Nothobranchius furzeri: one gene and its partners. The protein of the gene in region 1 binds, or shares a complex with, the protein of each later gene. Links are inferred from orthologs where the notes say so. Each region holds a gene or a part of one and is shown in the gene's direction. Other genes may lie near its edges.

Region 1 (5,653 bases):
ATTATTGTATTATCATTCATTTTAATTCATTGGTGTGAGAATTTACACATAAAATAACAGAATTCAAGCTGTTGGACCCCTTTCCTGTCACCGTTTACACCCCAAGATCCAAATCTTCATCCGTTTCTGTTCTTCTCTTTAAACATTGGATTTTCTTCCATAAGCATTTATTCATTAGACTGGATGAGAAAATAACTATTGTCATATTTGATTTGCGATGTGGTTGTAAATTTTAACATGAGTTCAATTTATTTAAACCAACAAACAAAATAATATTTTTCATTTAAGACAGAAAAAATAATCAGCAACTGAAGTTGAGATTAACTTGTGTGAATATTCCTTAAAACAAGTGTGATGCATTTTTCTGAAGCTGAACAAGGTTAGTGTTTACACACTTCTATAAAATTACATTAAATCTTGTTAAAACTAGTATCTTCTACCAAGTATTCATTAGGGCTAGTGTGTAGGTCACAAAGTGCACCTAGTGCTGCTTTGACTTCACAAATGAAACTAAACATTAAGTCCATGAAAAATCCCCGAACTCGTCATTCCAACAGTATATTTGACCAGAAACAAACACTGAAAACAAAACTAGTCCACTGTCTCTCAGCTGAGTTTTAAATATGTCGTCTTGGCTTTAATGGTCCAGACAATCCGTGTTCAGGTCTTGTTCGGTGGAAAATACGCTCACAACACATTCACAGTGGGAAACCTGAAGCTTCGGGCCCTGAGTTTTGACACAATTACGCGTAGACACACGAATAGAACAAAACTTGACAGTGTCAAGTTTATAACCCAGCGTTTACCTCAAGTAAAAACAAATTAGGCACCGTTTAATTCAGAGAGTTAACAGCAACAACCGTTGCTAGCTGTTAACAAGCTAGCGGCGGTTTAGCTGTAGCAGACAGGCGAAACTAACTGCTATTGGTCGAGCAGCGGTGTTGTCAGTCGCGCACGATGTGGAATATATCACACATGACTAACCAAAAACACCGGACTTACCGGGAGTTTAGGATTTACTTCTCCCTTACAACAGTGACAGAAAAACCGATGCGGGGGAACAGGCGCGGCCTCCGCCATCTTCCCCAAGCAGCACAACTAGTGACGTTGGTCCTTTACAACCAAAAGACACTTTATGGCAAGCCGGTTCATCATATAATAAGTGATAATTCTGATATTTATCATATGCATTTTCATATCCTCCAAAATGATTATAAGTTGTTTTAAAACGTTTAATAATAAAAACGTCTTTATGATAGCAGTAAATCATATGAAAATTTAAAATATTTCAGAGTTACCACGGTATTCAAGACCTTGAAATCTGCACATTGTTCTCTAGTGGGAATTCCAGTTTTGAGAAACAAATTATTATTCTAACAAAAGTTGTTCGACAGCAAAGTACGTTTAGATTTTTTAAACCGGAAACTAAATTTCTATGGGAATTTGTTTGTCCTAACATTTGGGAAAGGTATTTGAGATTCTTGAAATGTTGATTTTGAATAGGTGAAATATACCTTTTGAAATACATGGAAGGAACTGCAGATGTTTACTGATGAATACTGACTTCACCCAGTGTGATTGTGTACCTCTTACTTTTTGTCTAACTTATTAACACGTCGAGCGCTTGAAATTTCAGTTGTTTATTCTGATAACTAAAAATGCAATTCATGAACAAATTTTTTTTTATTTAAATTCCAAATGAAAAAAATGGGATGTGGTTAATTATATGCTACAACAACTTGCCTGAACCAAACGATCTCCAGCTCGACAGGGGGCGCTGCACTGCAGCCAAATCCTGGAGGGAAGACCCAGAGAGCGGAAGTGTCTTTTTTACCGGAAGTGTCTGTGTGTTGTGATGGAAGAGACGCATGTGTAAAAAGTCGATGCATGAAGGCAACAGCTACGTTTGCTCCGAAACCCATCTGCAATAAAAGGTTCGTGAAAAAAATAAGTTACGTGTATTTATTTTTCCTAATTCTTTACTTTCAGGTGAGCTAGCCGCTAGTAGCTTGTAAGCTAATCCACTTAATACAACTTTAGCTTCACTGGTGTGGACATTAATCAGAGACGCTTAAAACATAATTAACATTTAATATTAGATGAAGTTTACATGTTGTCTTTTGTTTTATGGTGCTTTAGTGTTTTTTTAACCGAAACATCACAGTTTAAAGATGCTAGTGATTGATTTGTGATGCTTTAAGTGTACTAGTGTTTTAGTGTCCTGTCAAAAAAGTAAATATAATTTATAAAATACAATAAAATGACTTTATTCTTGCAATAGGTTAATTTCTGTTAAGATGTTGATAATAAATCATACTAATTTACCTATTTAAGCCAACCACATACACAATATTCAGTACTTTCCTCACAACTTGGTACAGTCATTTTGTCATTTAATTAGTTTGTTTATTTTGATCAACTGTTGGTTCATATTACACTGATTATTTTGTTTTCAATCTGTTTCATGAAAAGCATCTTTTATAAAATGTTCTGCTAATCTGGTGCTGCTTCCGTGGGTTTTATTATCGTGATATAGGTGATGTCATCTAATTTACTGTTTTGCTTCATCTACAATAAAATACAGGAATTCTTCTACAAAACCTGTAACATAAATAAAACCAGTTTACTTCCATCCATCCATTTTCATCCGCTTATCTGGAGTCGGGTGGCTGGGGCTGTAGCCTAAGTCGAGAGGTCCAAACTTCCCTCTCCCCAGCCACTTGGGCCAGCTCCTCCGGGGGAATCCCAAGGCGTTCCCTGGCCAGGTGAGAGACATAGTCCCTCCACCGTGTCCTGGGTCTACCTTTAGGCCTCCTCCCAGTTGGACGTGCCCGGGAAACCTCACCAGGGAGGCGTCCAGGAGGCATCCTGACCAGATGCCCAAGCCACCTCAACTGGCTCCTCTCGATGTGGAGGAACAGCGGGTCTACTCCGAGCCCCTCCCGGATGACCGAGCTTCTCACCCTATCTCTAAGGGAGAGCCCAGCCACTCTTTGGAGAAAACTCATTTCGGCCGCTTGTATCCGTGATCTCGTTCTTTCGGTCACTACCCAAAGCTCATGACCATAGGTGAGGGTAGGAACGTAGATCGACCGGTAAATCGAGAACTTCGCCTTCCGACTCAGCTCTCTCTTCACCACGACAGACCGGTACAACGCCCGCATCACTGCAGACGCAGCACCAATCTGCCTATCGATCTCACGCTCCAGCTTTCCCTCACTCGTGAACAAGACCCCGAGATACTTAAATTCCTCCACTTGGGGCAGGACCTCATCCCTGACCCGTTTACTTGTGGATCTTATTTATATTGTATGTTTTTGCAGATGACAGCCCAGGAGGTACGACTGTGTGGTCTTCTGATGCGAGAGCATTTCGGGGAGGTGGTGGAGAAAGTGGGAACACACCTGCTCAGAAGTGGTGGCCAACATTTACGAGCCATTGTTCATGAAACTGGAGTCTCAGCGGACCTGGTACAAATGACAAGCTTCTTTCTGCTGGTTAATACTGAGAATATATTTGCTTAGCAGCTAATTGTTGGTGGTGATGTATTTTAGATAAGTAGAGTTGATTTATTGGACAGTTTTACACTATAAATGATTTTTAATCACACAGTACAGATGCTGCTTTTGCCTTTGTTTTTAAAGGTAAAGAAGTCTTTATGCGTGCTTATGCATCACGGAGCGTGTTCGTTCATCTCTGGTCGAAAGGGACCCGGCAGCCCCCCAGAGTATCAGGCAAGCTGCGATTGCATTCTGAGGATTCTGCGATACCCACGTTACATCTACACCTCTAAAACCTTGTACGGTGACACCGGAGAGCTGATCGTTGAGGAGCTGCTTCAGAGGGGTCACATGACGATGAGCGGCACGGTCAAGACAGTCGCTGACCGCCTCAGTCAGAACATGGAGGGTCAGCGTCTGATTTTAAAAAGACAAAAATCTGGATTTGATTTTGAATGTTTTTCAGGTTTCAGTAGGATTTATATTACGTGACATCAAGTGTCTATGTTGTTCTTACAGATGGGCAGAGCGTTGATTACAGCGAAGTGTCGTCTGTCTTTTCTAAACTGGTGGAGACGCATTTCCTGCAGCGCTGCCCTCCGTTGGACGGAGCAGGAATGACAGCCAGCAGCACTCAAGCCGGCCCCAATCCCACTGCAGCCGCCTCCAGCTCCACCCTGCCCAACCCAGAGAGCTTCTCCGAGTGCTATAAGGTGCCTCATGTGACCCTCGTCGGGCGGGGAAAGCGCCAGCTCGCCACCGAGGAGGGAGAAGAGCAAAGGAGCGCAAAAAGAGCCAAAATGGAGCCAGAAGTCGGGAACAACTCTCTTTTTTCACCTATTTATTCATTCCAACATTTCTCTGTTTCTGCTTTTATCATCATCACACACGGTTGGTGTTTTTGTGCAGACTCATGGTGACGAGGGGATCTACTGGCAGGTGAACTTTACGCGGTTTCATCAGCACTTCAGAGACCAGGTGATCATCAGTGCCGTGGCCAGTAAACTGGATCAGGTCAGGCTTCCTCTTCAGGACTAAAAATACGAGTGAATAAAAAAAAAAAAAGAGTTGAACGTGCCTACAAAACGCTTATTCATTCTCCTGGATGACTAAAATGTTTTATGTTGTTTCTGTGTGTTTAGAGAGAACTGTCAGTCATCAAAACTGGATAAAAAAAATCAATAATCAACAGTAAACGGGCTCCAGCCCTAAAAAACAATATTTTTATGAATGAAACCAAATCTCACTAATACATGCATTAGTGAGATTAATTATAGTTGTAGCTGTATTTATGTTCTCTTGGTCACTATTGTGTTTCAGGTGTTTGATGAAGCACTTTTTAAAGCTTTTGCATTTAAAAGGTCGTCGTCTTCCTCCGCTTATCCGGGTCCGGGTCGCGGGGGCAGCATCCCAACTAGGGCGCTCCAGACCGTCCTCTCCCCGGCCACCTCCACCAGCTCCTCCGGCAGGACCCCAAGGCGTTCCCGGACCAGATTGGAGATGTAACCTCACCAACGTGTCCTGGGTCGACCCGGAGGCCTCCTGCCGGCAGGACATGCCCAAAACACCTCCCCAGGGAGGCGTCCAGGAGGCATCCTGACCAGATGCCCAAACCGCCTCAACTGACTCCTTTCGATCCGGAGGAGCAGCGGTTCTACTCCGAGTCCCTCCCGAATGTCCGAGCTCCTCACCTTATCTCTAAGGCTGAGCCCGGCCACCCTACGGAGGAAACTCATTTGGGCCGCTTGTATCCGCGATCTCGTTCTTTCGGTCATTACCCAAAGCTCATGACCATAGGTGAGGATTGGGACGTAGATCGACCGGTAAATCGAGAGCCTGGCTTTCTGACTCAGCTCCCTCTTCACCACGACAGATCGGCTCAGCGTCCGCATCACTGCAGACGCCGAACCAATCCGCCTGTCGATCTCCCGATCCCTCCTACCCTCACTCGTGAACAAGACCCCGAGATACTTAAACTCCTCCACTTGAGGTAGGACCTCTCCCCCGACCCAGAGGTGGCAAGCCACCCTTTTCCGGTCAAGAACCATGATCTCAGATTTGGAGGTGCTGATCCTCATCCCAGCCGCTTCACACTCGGCCGCGAACCTACCCAGCAAGAGCTGAAGGTCAGAGCTGGATGAAGCTAGGAGGAC
Region 2 (4,722 bases), about 74 Mb from region 1:
TCTCTGTTTCTCATCCCATAGCTGAAAATAACACAAGAGACACACACAAAAAGGAGGAATTGTCAGTTTTAATGTTAAAATGTATATCTAAGGTTTAATTTTATATACTCACTCTTTTAGTCTCAAGGTGTCATCTTCAAGCTTCACACCCTCAAATACTAAATGATAGGCTCTCCAAACATATCTCCTGAGATAATACACATACAATAATATTACACACACACACACACACATACATACATACACACACATATATATATATAAATATATACACATACATAAATATATACACATACATACATATATTATATATATACATATATTATATATACATACATATATATATATATATATATATATATATATATATATATTACATACATACATACATACATATATATATATATATATATATATATGTGTGTATGTATATATAATATATGTATATATATATATATATATATATATATATATATATATATATATATATATATATATATATATATTGAATGCATTTTATTTCCTTGTCTACTTAAATATTCTTACCAGCTGATATGTTTTATTCCTCCCTCCCGTTGCTGTTTCAACTCCATAAATCTGCAAATGGCCTTTTTCAGGTCCAGGACTGAAGCGTTTTGGACTACAACTATGGCTTCATTTAAATATAATAAATAAAAAAAAGTAAGTGTGATGAGAATAGTAGATGTCAGGCTATAATTTTCAATCATCTAATAACAAAAAATAGAAAGTTGATAAAAAAGAAATAATAAAACAATGAAAAAGCAACACTTACGCATGATTTCACCATCTGCTTTCACGACCTTCACAGTCATCGCCTGGCCGTACTCCAAAGCTATCTGAGAATTTACTTCTTCCAGTGTGACCTGATGGTACAGAAAAAAAAAACATTAAAATTGACGCCACCGATTACCATTTCTCTGCACACATCAGACCATCATCATCTAGAAAAGCTCACAACCCTGAGAGGACTTGCTGTTAGATTATGAAGATTTATTGCTGGTCTTAAATTTGGAAATACTTTGACAAGTTGAGCAAAATACAGTGAAATATTTTGAATATACTTTATTGACCTAACAAAATGCACAAGGTAGACGTGAGCTAATACTTCTACTGCTGTCCTCTTGTGTAACCAATATTAGGACAGAGTACAAATCACACAGCTTTAACATACAAGCAAGAAGAGACATCAGCAAGGACTTTGGGGAGATAATTTTGTCTTTGCTCTAATAAAAACTGTAATATGCAGTGATCTGCTGTTTTTACTCCATTGGAAGCTTGCAAATTGATTCATAAACACTTTGTAGTGCAAATGGGATCCATTTGAGTTTTAATAGGTATCTAAATAGACTGTTTGGAAATTGCAGGTGAGGTGTGTGTCCAAACTTTTGACTAAAGTAACAAAAGCTGCACAATGTATCACAAAACATCATCACTGTGACTGCTTCAGTGGCACACAAAAACAGCTTGATTCACAGTAGATGGGGACATGTTCATGTGACTGAATCTCCTTAATGCTATTGCTGAAAACACACCAGTGGTGAGTGATGTGTGGTAACAGAGTGAGGAAAATGAGGATTTAGCACAACTGTTATCGTCATCGCAATACCCAACGATATTGTAACAGTGTGATTTACTAAATCCTACAAAAGTATAATCCTGGCCCAAATATCTTCTACAATCGTCATTGGACTTTAAAAATAAAATAGACCAGCTCCAATGAGTGAATCTCAAATAAAGGTGACAACACACGTTTTCCTTCAGAGTAACTGAGGGCACTCAGAAATAACACCTGGATTGGCAGGTCGCAGAGTAAAGGGTCCTGCACAAGTCGAGCAAGTCCTTCTTCAAAAATATCCAGGATCTCAGAGTGAGGGAGAGAATCTTCATCGTCCTCCTCCTCAGCAGCTGCCTCGTTTAGGAAGCTCTCCTTTTTCACCTCCTCATCCTGCACTAGTTGCGCTCCTTCACCTCCTTTGACTACAGCAGAACCTGGACTCTGCTCCTCCTCCATCCGATAATCATCCAGCTATTGGGTACCTTCCGGGTTTCCTGCTAGAAAACGTCGTCTGGATACAATTTACCTGGACAACAATTACAGGTTTACTTCAAAACTGCTGCTAAAAAAGAAGAATTAGAACAGCAAAAGCCCGTATGTAACTGTGTGCAGTACAAACAAACTACCGGAACGGAAATGGACCTTATGTAAAAGGTTCCACTTGATGAAAATAAAAATGAACAGCTGCGTTAACATTTGATAAATACGTATTCTTATCATAAATTAATAACATTCATTTTAATATAGAATTGTTTACATACAATTAGGCATGTTGTTTAAACGATTAGCGACTTCCGGTTGTTTCCGTTCGAGCTGTTTTCATCAGTCGACTTCCGGTTTTCTCTACGCAGCAGATGGTTTCTGGTGAAATCACATTTAGATTCCATTTAGTTGATGGTTTGCGACCAAATTGATTACATTTAAAATGCTACTCTTTTGCCCTACCTGTGGAAACGTTTTGATCGTAGAAGAAGGACAGAAGTGTATGAGGTTCGCGTGTAACACCTGTCCTTACATACACAACATCACAAGAAAGGTAGGAGTCACCCGTAACTAAACCAGGTTTCATCATCTAGTTGGTGTCAGAAACACAAAATATTTGTCGTTAGGTTTGTAAGTTTAAGGTCTTGTTTTATTTCTCTTGAAGGTAAACAACCGAAAGTATCCCAAATTAAAGGAGGTGGATGATGTTCTCGGTGGGGCTGCTGCGTGGGAGAACGTGGATTCAACTGCAGGTAAATAACATTAAAATGACTTCCTGGAGTCTGCATACAAATGTTTAGCATATTCTTTAGTTTTAGTTAAGTAATTAAAGTGTTTTAACGCCTAAAATGAGAAAAGTGTACTTCCAATTTTCAATTATACAAACGGATTAATCCAGGATTTTCAGTTTTTCTTTTTGTTCAAGCCAAACCATTCAACAATCCTGATATCCTGTATCTTTATTTAGGTCATAGTAGAATTGGCTAGATGCTTAATAAACTATTATTTATCTCCTTAAAACAATTCATGATCCTTAAACAGGATTAGTGATTTCTTAAGATTAACATTCTTAAACTAAAACCTGGACATACCAGAGGTATTTGGGGTATAAGATGGTACATACCGGTGTGGCCTCTAAGCTGACATATTCCTTCTCTATCTCTGTACAGAAAAATGTCCCAAGTGTGAGCATCCTCGGGCGTATTTCATGCAGATTCAGACCAGATCTGCTGATGAACCCATGACAACTTTCTACAAATGCTGTAATGCCCAGTGTGGACATCGATGGAGAGACTGAAAGTTTTCTACTTGTAGTTATTTCAAATGTTCAGATGATTTCTGGCCTGGTTTTCCTTTTCTTCTGTATTTATTTGCACCATTTACTTTCCAGTTGTGATAAATGTTCCACATGACAAAGTGTTTACTTCATGATTTTTATTGGTAAAATAGCGCCTGTGTACAGTCACATAAATTGCGTACATAGTTGTACATCAGACATCTGGAGCGATGCAGACCAGCAGTTTTCACAACATGACTAAAGTTCCATTACAATCCTTCACAAAATGTGTTTTTTTGTTTTATATTTTGCACAGATTTTTCAGTCTTGAGGAAAAAAATATGCACAGAGTCGGAGCACATCAATGATTATTACTAAAGGTATAGCCCAGGCAAACTGCGAGAAGCATTAGTGGCTGATGTATCCCACATGCTGAGATGATTCACTGTTAGTGTTCAGAATCACTTTTGCAAAAGGTCTAATTCAACAACTTCATGAAGCTCATTAAAATCTCACTAATCAAATGTATTTCATTTCATCTAAGCGAAGAACCTTCATTTAGGTGAATCCTTAATGGCTTAGTACTCAGTTTTTAAAACCTCTTAAGATCAGCTAAATCTGAAATGGTGCTGCATGAGCCTGACAGAAAAACACACACCAAGATGTCATGCTTTCGTTTTTAAGTGATTAGCTTGTCTATCGCCTTCAGTACACTTGTGGACCATTCCCATCTGTACCGGGTCGGCCCGGGCCGGGTAGCGTAGGTTGTTTACATATCTGGGTGGCCTGGTATTTTTCCGGGCCAACCAAGGCTCATTCTCAGCCCTCTTCTCGAGGGGGTCTGCTTCAGGCCGACCAGGGCCAACACACCCACTGCTGACAGCAACTTCACACCTTCCATTAGAGCAAGCCTCTGATTGGTGGGTAGAATCAGCCCACATGGGCTTAAGGCAAGGATGTGTGGAATCAACCGGGCCAGGCTGGGGCCGACTGGGGCTACCCGACCCGGCACAGATGGGAATGGCCCAAAAGTCTGAATATGGCTCATAACTCGGTCGACTACAGAAACTAGTAACACCTGGATAAAACTTTGCTTTTATTCAGGGTAAAATCGTGTTTTAATGAAAACAAAATGTGTGTTTAAACTTATAAAGTGCAAATATTAACTTTATTCTCAAAACTACAGACGGGGACAAAGGTAACAGCTAAACAGTGAATCAGAACATGTTGATTGGAGTAATGAATACAAGTAACTAAAGCATAAAACATAAATGTATTTGTTTAAATGGACGGTTTTCACATTACACCAACGATAATGATAAACAAGAAACAACTAGGTAGGTAAGAACAAAAAAACAGTGAGAGACAAAATGTTAACATTTCTCAA
Region 3 (5,533 bases), on another chromosome or scaffold:
TTTTATTTTTTATAGTTTTTATTTGTTTTATCTATTTTGGTGATGTATTGTCTTATACAGCACTTTGGTTGGCGTTGTCGCCGTTTAAATGTGCTTTATAAATACAAGTTGATGATGATGATTAAATGAAGTGATGCTTCAGTGTGTTTGGACAAACCTTCTCATTCTCAGGGTTCAAGTTTCAAGAGGTAGTCCCTCAAGACTGTTGGAAAACCATTTCAGGTGACAACCTCTTGAAGCTCATCAAAAGCCAAGAGTAATCAGAGCGGTGATCATGGACGTAATTTTCACTTGAGAAGTGGGGGGGACACGGGGGGGGGGGGATCTTTACAGTATGCTCTAATGGGAAACAGGTTTCAACACAAACGGCTGTTTTCCGCTTGGTCTTAGAGCTCAACCAGTGTCAATTTAATATAGCGTAATATTGTTTTTGGATGGTAAAAAGTGCAGGGGTCAAAACTTGATTTTGGAAAAAGTGGGGGGGACATGTCCCCCCTGTCCCCCCCCAAAATCACGTCCATGGCGGTGATCAGAGCAAAGGGTGGCCTTTTTAAGAAATTAGCGCACAAAACATGTTTTCAGTTATTTCACCTTTTTTGGTAAGTGCATGACTCCACATGTGTTCAATCATAGTTTTGATGCCTTCAGTCAGAATCTATGTAAATGATCATGAAAATAAAGAAAACACATTGAATGAGAAGGTGTGTCCAAAGCTTTGGCCTGTACCGTAGGTGTGAGTGAGCGTGTGGCTGGGTATCTGTCTCCGTGTGTCCCCAAGACTCCACTCAGATGCAAGAAGTTCAGAAAATGAATGAATAATAAATTAGACTAGGATGGATGGATGGATTAAACCTGGTTTGGGTGCAGGTGTGTACTAGTGGACCTTTTCGTACTTACCTACAGATCTTTGTGGAGAACCAAGTGATTTCTCAGCAGAATCACAAGTTCCATCAGGCTGAAGTAACAGAACAATGAAGGAATGAGCAAGGGCAGATAGTTTCATACAAATAGAGGACGGGTTTATGGAATATGCAGAGCAGCGGGTGAGTGTTTACCTTCAAGTGGTTCTGCAGACTATTCTGGTTCTCCACAGTGCTGCCTGAATCCAGTTGAACCACTGAGAAGACCTTGGTCACCACAGAGCTCTGTCTGCCATCACTGTATCAAACACAGTTATGGTCTGATAAACAGGAAGTGATGCAGTGCTACTTTTATTCCTGTCACTCGTTATCAGGTGAGTGTTTACCTGGTGACAGCCACAGCTTTGACAGACACCCGACCAGCAGGTAGCAGGATGGGCTCTGTGTACTTCCTGCTGCTGCCAGCTGCCCCTCTCTGCCCCAGCTCTGGCTTCGACCCATCCAACGTATAGAAGATCAGCACACCTGCAGAGTCTGCACGCACAAACTGTTGTTTAGATCAGCGCTGCAAGGTGGCAAATTTAGCAGAAACCCCGATCAGCCTCGTCGCAAGACAATAATTCAACCACAAAGTATCTTCAGTCAGAAGTTTCTTCAGATCTGCTGCAACACAGAAGATCCGTCCTGTATCCAGCTAGAACCGGATAGAGCTTGCTAGAAAAAGCTGGAACCAGCTAGATCCATGCTGTGTGTGTGTGTTGTGAAATTAACAAAAGAATATGAATGGATGGATAGATAGATGAATGGAGGACAGAAGTGTGTGGTGTGTGTGTGTGTGTGTGTGTGTGTGTGTGGGGGGGGGGGGGGGGGGGGGTACCTGACTGGATGGAGACAGGTGTTGTGGTATCGATGTGCTTCTTGGCTCGATGAGTTGGCAGGTAGATGATGGGAATGATAAGTGGAGGTAAAACAGCTCCTGCTGCCATGGTAACGGATATCAACAAATCAGGAGATCAGGGTTTCTTCTTCTTCAGTTAAAGCAGAAAAGAAAACTTGAGTTTTTTGAGTCCTTGTTTTAAAAGTGCTGCTCACAAACGTCCAGCTAGACCGTCACAACTCACTGAGACGTGATGATATCTGAAAAAACAGGATAGCAATCTAATGTACTAAATAAGAGGTTATAACGTCTCAACACTGATATTAATCAGCTGTCAGCCATTAGACAGCGCCCTCCGCTGGCTACCGGTTTACCGCTCCCGTACCGCACAGTTCTTGTTGTGTAGCGGAACCGTTTTTACGGTTATGAGCTCAAGAATACAGACGCATCGAGCTGGCTGGGAGATGAGACACTTCTGAGAACTGCAGCGTTTATACAACGTCACCATGGCAACAGAGTCTGTCTGAGACGAACGAGTAAGCACAAGTGCCTGCCCCTCGGGGCTGCCGCGAAACTTTCTACAAGTTCACTCTTTAGAAGTTCCTAGAAATGACAGGACTAGCATCTCATGAATGTTTAGAGAAATTTTCTCCGCTTGGATTTATTTGAATGTAGGCACTGGTGTTTCAGTAACTCGTTTTATTTAAATTGTAAAAATAATATAAAAAGTGGGTTCAATTGAAAAACATTAAAAAATGAGAAGTAATTTTGAGGATTAAAATAAGATTTTTTTTGTCTTTCACTTAACCGCTCAACTGAATCTCAATTAATTTATTTTTGAACGGGCAGTTTTCCGGACACCTACCGCTGGGTAAACATCTGTAAGGACCCCTCCAGGGCAATCTTGATACCGCCTGCTCTGAGATTGATTGTGGCGGACCAGAATCACCGCCTTAACGGAGCCGCTGCTCGGACACGAGCCACACGACCGGTTCAGAATGGCGGAGGTGAAGGTGAAGAAGGAGATGAACCAGACGGAACCCGCGGAGGTGGAGAGCAGGTTGGAACGGACCGGATTCTGTGTCCATTCGGTCGATTTGAACGTTTCTCATCCACAATCTCTCACATATCGGTGACAAGTTGAGTTTGGACCCGTTTTCGGGACGGGAACAGGCTCACTCAGACTTCGGCATTCACTTCACTCGTTTATTTGTCAAAAGAAAGTCCCAAAGTAGACTTCATGTCTTCAACGTGGCTGCCAGATTTGCACCATCGTTCTGTTACACCTGTTTGCTGTCTTGCACACGGACAGAGGCATTGCTTTCATACATGTTAAATAAAACATAAGTTTGTTGCAAATAAGAGGAGAATTGGAGGCAGCTGATTGAAGCGAAAACTGCTTTAAAAACAAAAGTTAATCATACGTGAAAAGACGTTCTGATGTGTTTAAACTTGTTTCTGTGACCCAGGATCAAAGATCTGTGTCAGCAGTTTCCTCAAGGTATCACAGACCAGGTGATCCAGAACGACATGCCTCACCTGGAGCCTCAGCAGAGAGCCATGGCCATTAACAAGCTGCTGGCCCTGGTGGGTTCGAGGACCTGACCCATGTCGGTCTCTGTGATGCTGATGGATGATCTGAACTGGTGTTCTATTCTATTATAGGGTCACCTGGACCTTCTCAGGAACAGTTCAGGTCTCCTGTACAGACTAAAGGACTCTCAGATGTCCAGGTAAGACCTGAGATCTGCTCGCTGGCCCCTGTGTGGTTTGGTTCTGCCTCTCTGAAACGCCTTTCTGTGCTTCAGTAAGATGAAAGGCTCAGACAGCCAGGAGAAGCTGGTCTATCAGGTGATTGAAGATGCAGGAAACAAAGGTACCAACCTATTTATGTCTAGAAACATGCAGCTCACCACTAACGGATTAGAACATCACGGCTGTGTAATGTGGCTGCAGGAATCTGGAGCAGAGACATCCGCTTTAAGAGCAACCTCCCTCTGACCGAGATCAACAAGATCCTGAAGAACCTCGAGAGCAAAAAACTCATAAAAGCTGTCAAGTCTGTGGCGGTGAGTGCTGTCGGAACAAAAACGTAGCCGGTTCATAAACCAGAGCATTGCTTTCTAACTAGTGATCAAAGTGTGTGTGTGTGTGTGTGTGTGTGTGTGTGTGTGTGTGTGTGTGTGTGTGTGTGTGTGTGTGTGTGTGTGTGTGTGTGTGTGTGTGTGTGTGTGTGTGTGTGTGTGTAGGCATCAAAGAAGAAGGTTTACATGCTGTACAACCTGCAGCCAGACCGCTCAGTAACAGGTGGGGCCTGGTACAGTGACCAGGACTTTGAGTCAGAGTTTGTGGAAGTTCTGAACCAGCAGTGCTTCAAATTCCTCCAGAGCAAGGTACACACACACACACACACACACACACACACACACACACACGCGTGCACTAAAACAGCAGAGGAGCACAAAAATGGGTGTTCACCTCAGCAACAGCCTGAACTTGTCCACAAATATGGATGACTTCTGCAGTGGAAATCATCCAATGTGGGTTTTTCTGTTGCCAACATCTTGATTTTAATTTTTTTCCCACCTGCCTGCTAAAGCGCAGCTGATGCTCAACATTCCTGACCCTGTTGAGTCTTATTTTTGTACTAAACTGCAATAAAATCAAATATTTAATCAAAGTTATTCAAACAAGTCACCAAATTAATTAGGAATTAAATAAGGAAAACAGGTGAATAAAAAATGTTAGTTACATTAATGTTTTAGAGGATTTATTTAGCAGATTTAAATTAAATAAATTCAAATTTGGAGTAAAAATACAAAAGAGCTGAAAACACAAAAGCAACATCTAAAATGCATCCTGTCTTTTGTTTTTGATTTTTACCAATAATTCTTAAAGAGCAAGTCACCCCCAAATCAGCTTTATTTGCTGATAAACTATATAAATGCATGCCTAATCGTGCTGCAGACACGTGTAGTCAATAGTTTTGCACTTTAGTGCATTTTAGTTCAAATTTAAATTTTCTGCCTAAAACTGTCAGTGTAGTACCGTTGTCAGGTAAAAACTCTTCACTGCATTTGAATTTAAACCTGCCATCGCTATTGGCTAAGAGGTACCCTCAGCTGGTACTAGTGATGGAAGTTCCAGCTCTTTTTAGAGAGCCGGTTCTTTTGGCTCAGCTCACCAAAAAGAGCCGGCTCTTTCGGCTCCCAAGTGGCTCCTCAGATTTTCTGTTGCGTGGAGTACATTTATAACCAAAATGATGATAAACTATATGTAAAATAATTTACTAATGTAAAAAAAGCAATATATCAAATATTTATCATTTCTATGGATTTAATAACTGAACACTTTAAGAAATCTCCACTTTCCGACTGCTGGCGCTCATTTTCTCACCGTCTTCGTCGCGCTCTCCCCTCTCTCTCTCTCTCTCTCTGTCTCTGTCTCTGTCTCTCTCTCTCTCTCTCTCTGTCTCTGTCTCTGTCTCTCTCTCTCTGTCTCTCTCTCTCTCTCTCTCTCTCTCACCTTTTTCCTCCTCCTCATTCCCTCTCGTCTCCCTCCACCTGCATGTGCTCTGCTGTGTGTCTGAGTCTGATCCTCCCTCTTCCCCGCCCCTACTGCTCTGTGTGTGGACAGTCTGGACACACAGTTACACATGCTGACCAATCGCCTGTAGCTTTCACCAAAGCAAGAGGGAAGGGGGGGGGGGGGGCACGGCTCCCAATGATGAGCCGGCTCTTAGGGCCGGTTCGTTCGCGACCGACACATCACTAGCTGGTACCATATGATGTCACAA
Region 4 (5,595 bases), on another chromosome or scaffold:
CCACCTTTTTTTACATGGATGATCTGAAGACCTATGCCAAAAATGATAACCAACAAGAGGGACTACTCCAAATAGTCAAGCTCTTCAGTGATGACATCTGCATGCAATTTGGACTTGACAAATGTGCAAAGGCTACATTAAAAAAGGGAAAACTCACATCAACTTCAAACATACAATTGGACCAAGAGACTGTCATAATGAAGCTCAGTCAAGAGGATACATACAAATATCTTGGGGTCAATGAAGGAGATGGAATACAACATGCTACCATGAAAGAAAAAAGTCAAAAAAGAGTACTACAGAAGAGTCAGGCTTGTTATCAAGAGTGAACTTAATGCTGCAAATAAGATCAAAGCCATCAACACTTCAGCTGTTCCAACGGTTACATACAGTTTTAACATCATCAACTGGCAACTTAAAGAAGTAAAGAAACTAGACACCAAGTCCAGAAAGTTGCTGACATCTGAAAGAATGCACCACCCAAAACCGGATGTTGAAATAATGTATCTACCAAGACAGATTGGAGGCAGAGGACTTACCCAACTTGAGATGGCTTACTAAACAACAACAATGGCATTGAAAACCTACCTTGAAACAACAGACAATGCCCTACTGATCCTCGTTTGTCAACATGAAGCTCGCAAGAAGCTGTACTCTGTTACAAAAGAAGCTATAAGACATGCACAGGAACTAAACATCCCAGATGTGGCAAGAAAAGAGAAAGAAACCATAACAAGCTTTGCCAAGAGGACCAAAAGGGAGGCAAAGAAATGGGCCCAAAAGAGGATGAGAGAAACATGGGAGGAAAAGCCAATGCATGGACAATACCCCTTGAGAGTAAAAAAAAGCAGACGTAGAACAAGATCATATCAGTGGCTACGCAGTGCAGGACTGAAGGCAGAAACTGAAGGATTGTTGATAGCAGCACAAGACCAGAGCCTGTCAACGAGATCATACCACCACAAGATCATGAAAGATGGAACAGACCCAATGGGGGGGGGGGGGGGGGGGGGATCTCTGCTGCTTGCTGCCACAAGGACATAAGAGTGCAGCAAAAACCTCATGTTTGTATGGGGAGGACAAAAGTCTCAAAAGATCTGTATGTGTGTATCTAGATTTGTTTATGTGTATCTAGATTTGTGTGTGTTTATCTACATTTGTGTGTGCGTAACTAAAGATTTTTGTGTGTGTAACTCTTGATTTGTAACTTGTGTTTATATTTTTGTGTGTAAATTCAGTTCTTACACATACAATCATTGAACACACACACACACAAATCACCTGGTACACACGGACAAGTCTACAGGACACACAGATCAGTTTACAAGTACAAAAATTATTAGTCAATTTAGGGTTGGGCATCGAGCATCGATTGGAACGGGGACCAACTGTTAGTTTTTCCCGGAATCGTTCAAATTTTTTTATTTAGATTCCAAGTTTCGATTCCTAGAATGCCGACGGAAGAGGAATCCGCAGCTGATCTCCGTGAAAAATAAACGTGATCTACCAACGCTTTTCAGATCTGATCACACCAGCTTTCTGTGTGCAGTACCGAGTCCCCCCTCCCCCCACCTGGCGCGCAGCGGCCAAATATAAACAAACGTGTCCGCCGAACTTTTACTCCGTAATGTAAACTTTAACTCCTGCAGCGTAGAGGAAACGTGTTAAAATCATCAACACGGTGGATTTAATAGAAGCTTTAAAGAACAAACTCTGGACGGCGTGAGGTGAGTTTGTCTCACTGCAAAAATAAAAACACACACGGAGCGTCAGCAGTCAGACGCAGCCGCTCACCAACACTCGTGTGTGTGCGTGCGCATCAGAAGGCTGAACAATAACCTGTAGAATAAAGTCTTCATGTTAGAGAAGCTTCTCAGTGGTGGACCACACCAGCTTCTGCCACAATAAATACTCATGATAATACTAATAAATCACACACAAAGTTGTGAACATTTTAATTTCCTTTCTGAACTATTTCTGTTGAGTATTTTAATGTTTAAAATCTGTTAGATTAGGAAATCTGGCTCAGCTCCCTCTTCACCACGACAGATCGGCTCACTGCAGACGCCGAACCAATCCGCCTGTCGATCACACACACACACACACACACACACACACACACACACACACACACACACACACACACACACACACACACACACACACACACACACACACACACACACACACACACACACAAGCAGACCTTTCGAGACTTTTTTCTCCCCTCACATTTGTGTCGGCGGAACCTTTATCCATGCTCTCCGTTTCCCCACGGAAGGTGTAACAACGTACCGCAGTTCCGGGCGCATAAATGGAAGTGTAAGGATTTCATTTTTACCTTTCATTTAGTTTATTTTAGCAAGAGACTTTGCTAAGTAGCTGTTGTGAATTGTGTTTTTAACAACAACTATAAGCCGTAGTTTTCAGTTTTTGGTTTATTATTGATGGATGAAAGCGAACAGAGCTAGCGAAACAGCAGAGACACATTTTCAGTTCGGTCTGGGACGAAAAACTGTTCATCCTAGCTTATTAAAATTTAAAAACAAAAAACGAGTCAGTATTAACCATTAAAGCCAAACAACACGGTCCTTTTGTTATGACTGAAGACTTTTTTTCTAAAGTCTTTTTAATTCTTTTAAATGAAACTTTTAGCTGATTTTTATTTATTTATTTTTACTAAACGATTCGTAAATGGTCAGAATAATATTTTACTCTCGACTGCATTTTTATAGGTTTAATTTCTTAACCCACATGGAGACAAAAAACGCATTAATCATCTTAACTGTTCATTCCTCTATATTCCGAGTTGATGGTGGACAGGGGACAGCTCTCTAGTCCATCACAGAGACACATGCACTCACTCACAGGTAGAGACAACTTAGAGTCAACAGTTAACCTGAGATGCATGCGTTTGGTCTGTGGGAGGAAACAGAGTATCCATACAGAGAAAACACGCATGCAGTGGAGAACTCCACAAAGGCTGCAGCTGGAATTCGAACCTGCAACCTTTTCGCTGTGAGGCAGCAGCACCAGCTCCTCCCTTCCATGCAGCTCATAACAACTACATCAATTCAAAACTTTCAACTTTTTGTGTTTTCAGCAAAAATTCAAGTGCTGCAATGCTCAGCAACTATGAGGTAATATAGTCGGTTTACCCTCGCATGACGTGTTATTCACTGTTCAGTCAAACAGATCAGTTTGTAACTTTTACTTTCTTTTTTTTTACTGCTCAGGTGTTCAAACTTCTCATAGATCTGAAGGAACAGAGGAAAGATGGGGGGAAGAGCAAACACAGTGCCGGGCAGCAGAACCTCAACACTATCATGTATGAGGTCAGGTCACATCTCTCTTCCTGCATTTATATAAATGTTTTGGTCATATTTATTACAAACATAATCTCCTGTGGGTTCGCCATCAGACACTTAAGTACCTGTCGAAGACGCCGTCCAGCAGACAAAGTCCTGAGATTGTCAAGGAGTTCCTCACCACCATGATGCCCCACAAACTCACAAAGTCAGTGAGATCTAATAAACATTTTATTTTGATTTAGTTGTGTTGATACGATGGACATTGTCTTAACATTTAGCCTTTTTCTGTTAATCTGATTTGTTTTTGTCATCATCAGGGCAGAAAAACTTCAGCTGTTGAACCACCGACCTCAAACTGCAGTAGAAATTCAGCTAGTGAGTCTCGTTAAATTTGTTAAAATTTGTGCAAAACGCAACCCAACCTACCAGGCTACCAGTAATAACCGGTGAAATCCACAGTAGCTCTGCCTGCCAGCTCTGCAGTTTCTTTAATCTTTGATTGAGAAATATTAAATAGCATTCAGACCTAGACTGAGTAAAAAATAAACACACACTGTGGAAATTAAATGTTTTTGTTGAATCAAGACACCCAAAACAGAATTTAAACTTTAAAAATGTATCGCAACACAAGGAAAATATTATTTTTTTAATTTTAATCACGCTAAGAGTTTGGTGCGTGGCATTTGAACTAGCTGCTATTTTATCCTTTGTTAATTATAAAAAAGTGGTTCTTTTAAAGGTGTGGAACACTTTTAGTGAATATTTCTGATTATAATCGGTCTCTGAGTTTTTCATGCAGGCTGAACATGAAAATAGTCTCCTACGTCTATCTGCTGCATTAGCTTCGGATGGAAAATAGACGGTGAAACTCTAGGATTAGAAAAGCCTGACAGATCTAAGTCACACTGTCACTTAACATTAATGGACTCACTCATCTTGATTCATGACGGAGAAGGCTGTTGTTGGCTTAGCGTCCAGGAAACGGCAGAGAATGTCTCAGCTAGTAGAAGCTAACCATTAGCAACTCCACCACACAGCAAAAGCTCCTCCAGGCTTGTGTTACTTGTGGAGATGATAATCAGTGGTAGAGTCGCATTGCTGTTGTAGTGTATCGATAGTTACATCTCTTACGTAGGAAACCATCAAAGGTGAGATTCCTTAGAAAATATGGAATCAATTTGATGTATCTTTGAATACTACCTTTAATCAGAAGATATGAACTTTTTATTGCAGGGATTAGGTAATAATTTGTAATAACCCAGAGTCAAAGAGAGAGACAAGTTTTAAAGTTTAAGAAGATTTATTTCTAAACAATTTAAAACAAGGCTAACTCTAACTTTAACTCTAAAGCTTGGTTTATGCTTGACGCATTCACTTTCCGCTTGGTGATGCGGCTCGCGGATGGAACGCGCTTCACAACTCGCAGCGTTTATGGTTCGTGCGGCTTGTCTCTGCGGTGAGCCAATATTCTCCCAAACTGAACGGGGCAACATGGAGCTCTACGGCATGCATCTAACACTACACCATAGTAGAAGTAAAAATTACTATTTACAACATGGCATTTCAGCATTTTTAACAGCGTCCTCGTCTTTTCTGACAGTGCGAGCTATTTCTCTCCAAGAATGATTAACAACATGTTGATCACGGTGATCTTTGAGAGCTAAATCATACAAATGTCTGTATTTACGAACCTCTGCCATACTAGTTCTAGCCGGTCCGCCATGTTTTTCCACGTCCGACCGTCCGCGTGGTTAGAAATTTTCCCTAGGTGCGCGTTGCAGAAATTTTGGGCTGTGCGGAGACGCGGTGGAGGGGCGTGGTTGTTAAAATGACGCAATTTTGCCGCGCGGAGCCGTGCAGACCTCGCGGACGCGTCAAGCATAAACCAACCTTAACACTCTGTGTGATGAATGGATCTAGTTGTGAATGAGGCAAGATGGATGGTGTAAATGTGGAATGTTGTTATCAGAACTCTCGTTTCCAGAGAAGCCTTAGTTCTGTGTGGGAGCGAATGCTTGCTCTAAACTATAGTCGAGTTTCAAAAACCACATTCAGACGCTATCTTGCCGAGCTACATACCCTTGCGGAGACCTCCGTTGCAGATCCAGAATGCCAGGTTCTCAGACCCTCTTTGGTACCGAAGCCGGTGAAACAGCGTACGGTACGACAGACTAGTCTTGGAATGCCCCCAGGTAAGCGGCAGTTGGTTGACAGTGTCAGCGGGACCCTGAAGGGTCAGTGAGTTCAGCTTTTACTCTGAAGGAGCATTGCGTCAGGTGGAGCT

Evidence for each region. Proteins that work in one complex are often made in the same cells at the same time.
Region 2: polr3c (region 1) and polr3k share a complex: the UniProt entries of both Homo sapiens proteins name them as parts of the RNA polymerase III complex. The link is inferred for Nothobranchius furzeri from reciprocal best matches to the Homo sapiens genes POLR3C and POLR3K.
Region 3: polr3c (region 1) and polr3f share a complex: the UniProt entries of both Homo sapiens proteins name them as parts of the RNA polymerase III complex. The link is inferred for Nothobranchius furzeri from reciprocal best matches to the Homo sapiens genes POLR3C and POLR3F.
Region 4: polr3c (region 1) and crcp share a complex: the UniProt entries of both Homo sapiens proteins name them as parts of the RNA polymerase III complex. The link is inferred for Nothobranchius furzeri from reciprocal best matches to the Homo sapiens genes POLR3C and CRCP.

The regions. Positions count from the first base shown.
Region 1 is NC_091745.1:77,810,009-77,815,661, reverse strand, and holds the start of polr3c (DNA-directed RNA polymerase III subunit RPC3), read left to right. Parts: upstream 1-1,806; 5' UTR 1,807-1,934; intron 1,935-3,323; coding exon 3,324-3,470; intron 3,471-3,644; coding exon 3,645-3,909; intron 3,910-4,019; coding exon 4,020-4,312; intron 4,313-4,409; coding exon 4,410-4,514; intron 4,515-5,653. Other genes in the region: rnf115a (E3 ubiquitin-protein ligase RNF115), read right to left, coding at 1,003-1,080. UniProt on the Homo sapiens protein: DNA-dependent RNA polymerase catalyzes the transcription of DNA into RNA using the four ribonucleoside triphosphates as substrates.
Region 2 is NC_091745.1:3,876,091-3,880,812, reverse strand, and holds polr3k (DNA-directed RNA polymerase III subunit RPC10), read left to right. Parts: upstream 1-2,358; 5' UTR 2,359-2,501; coding exon 2,502-2,612; intron 2,613-2,723; coding exon 2,724-2,811; intron 2,812-3,228; coding exon 3,229-3,356; 3' UTR 3,357-3,626; downstream 3,627-4,722. Other genes in the region: snrnp25 (U11/U12 small nuclear ribonucleoprotein 25 kDa protein), read right to left, coding at 1-21, 113-187, 547-652, 794-884, 1,811-2,032. UniProt on the Homo sapiens protein: Core component of RNA polymerase III (Pol III) which synthesizes small non-coding RNAs using the four ribonucleoside triphosphates as substrates. Can mediate Pol I proofreading of the nascent RNA transcript.
Region 3 is NC_091746.1:29,575,068-29,580,600, reverse strand, and holds the start of polr3f (DNA-directed RNA polymerase III subunit RPC6), read left to right. Parts: upstream 1-2,137; 5' UTR 2,138-2,273; intron 2,274-2,586; 5' UTR 2,587-2,735; coding exon 2,736-2,797; intron 2,798-3,206; coding exon 3,207-3,324; intron 3,325-3,402; coding exon 3,403-3,470; intron 3,471-3,545; coding exon 3,546-3,613; intron 3,614-3,693; coding exon 3,694-3,806; intron 3,807-3,986; coding exon 3,987-4,130; intron 4,131-5,533. Other genes in the region: dzank1 (double zinc ribbon and ankyrin repeat-containing protein 1), read right to left, coding at 898-955, 1,056-1,158, 1,247-1,394, 1,738-1,846. UniProt on the Homo sapiens protein: DNA-dependent RNA polymerase catalyzes the transcription of DNA into RNA using the four ribonucleoside triphosphates as substrates.
Region 4 is NC_091750.1:56,809,398-56,814,992, reverse strand, and holds the start of crcp (DNA-directed RNA polymerase III subunit RPC9), read left to right. Parts: upstream 1-2,199; 5' UTR 2,200-2,314; coding exon 2,315-2,322; intron 2,323-3,103; coding exon 3,104-3,140; intron 3,141-3,236; coding exon 3,237-3,335; intron 3,336-3,421; coding exon 3,422-3,516; intron 3,517-3,628; coding exon 3,629-3,686; intron 3,687-5,595. UniProt on the Homo sapiens protein: DNA-dependent RNA polymerase catalyzes the transcription of DNA into RNA using the four ribonucleoside triphosphates as substrates.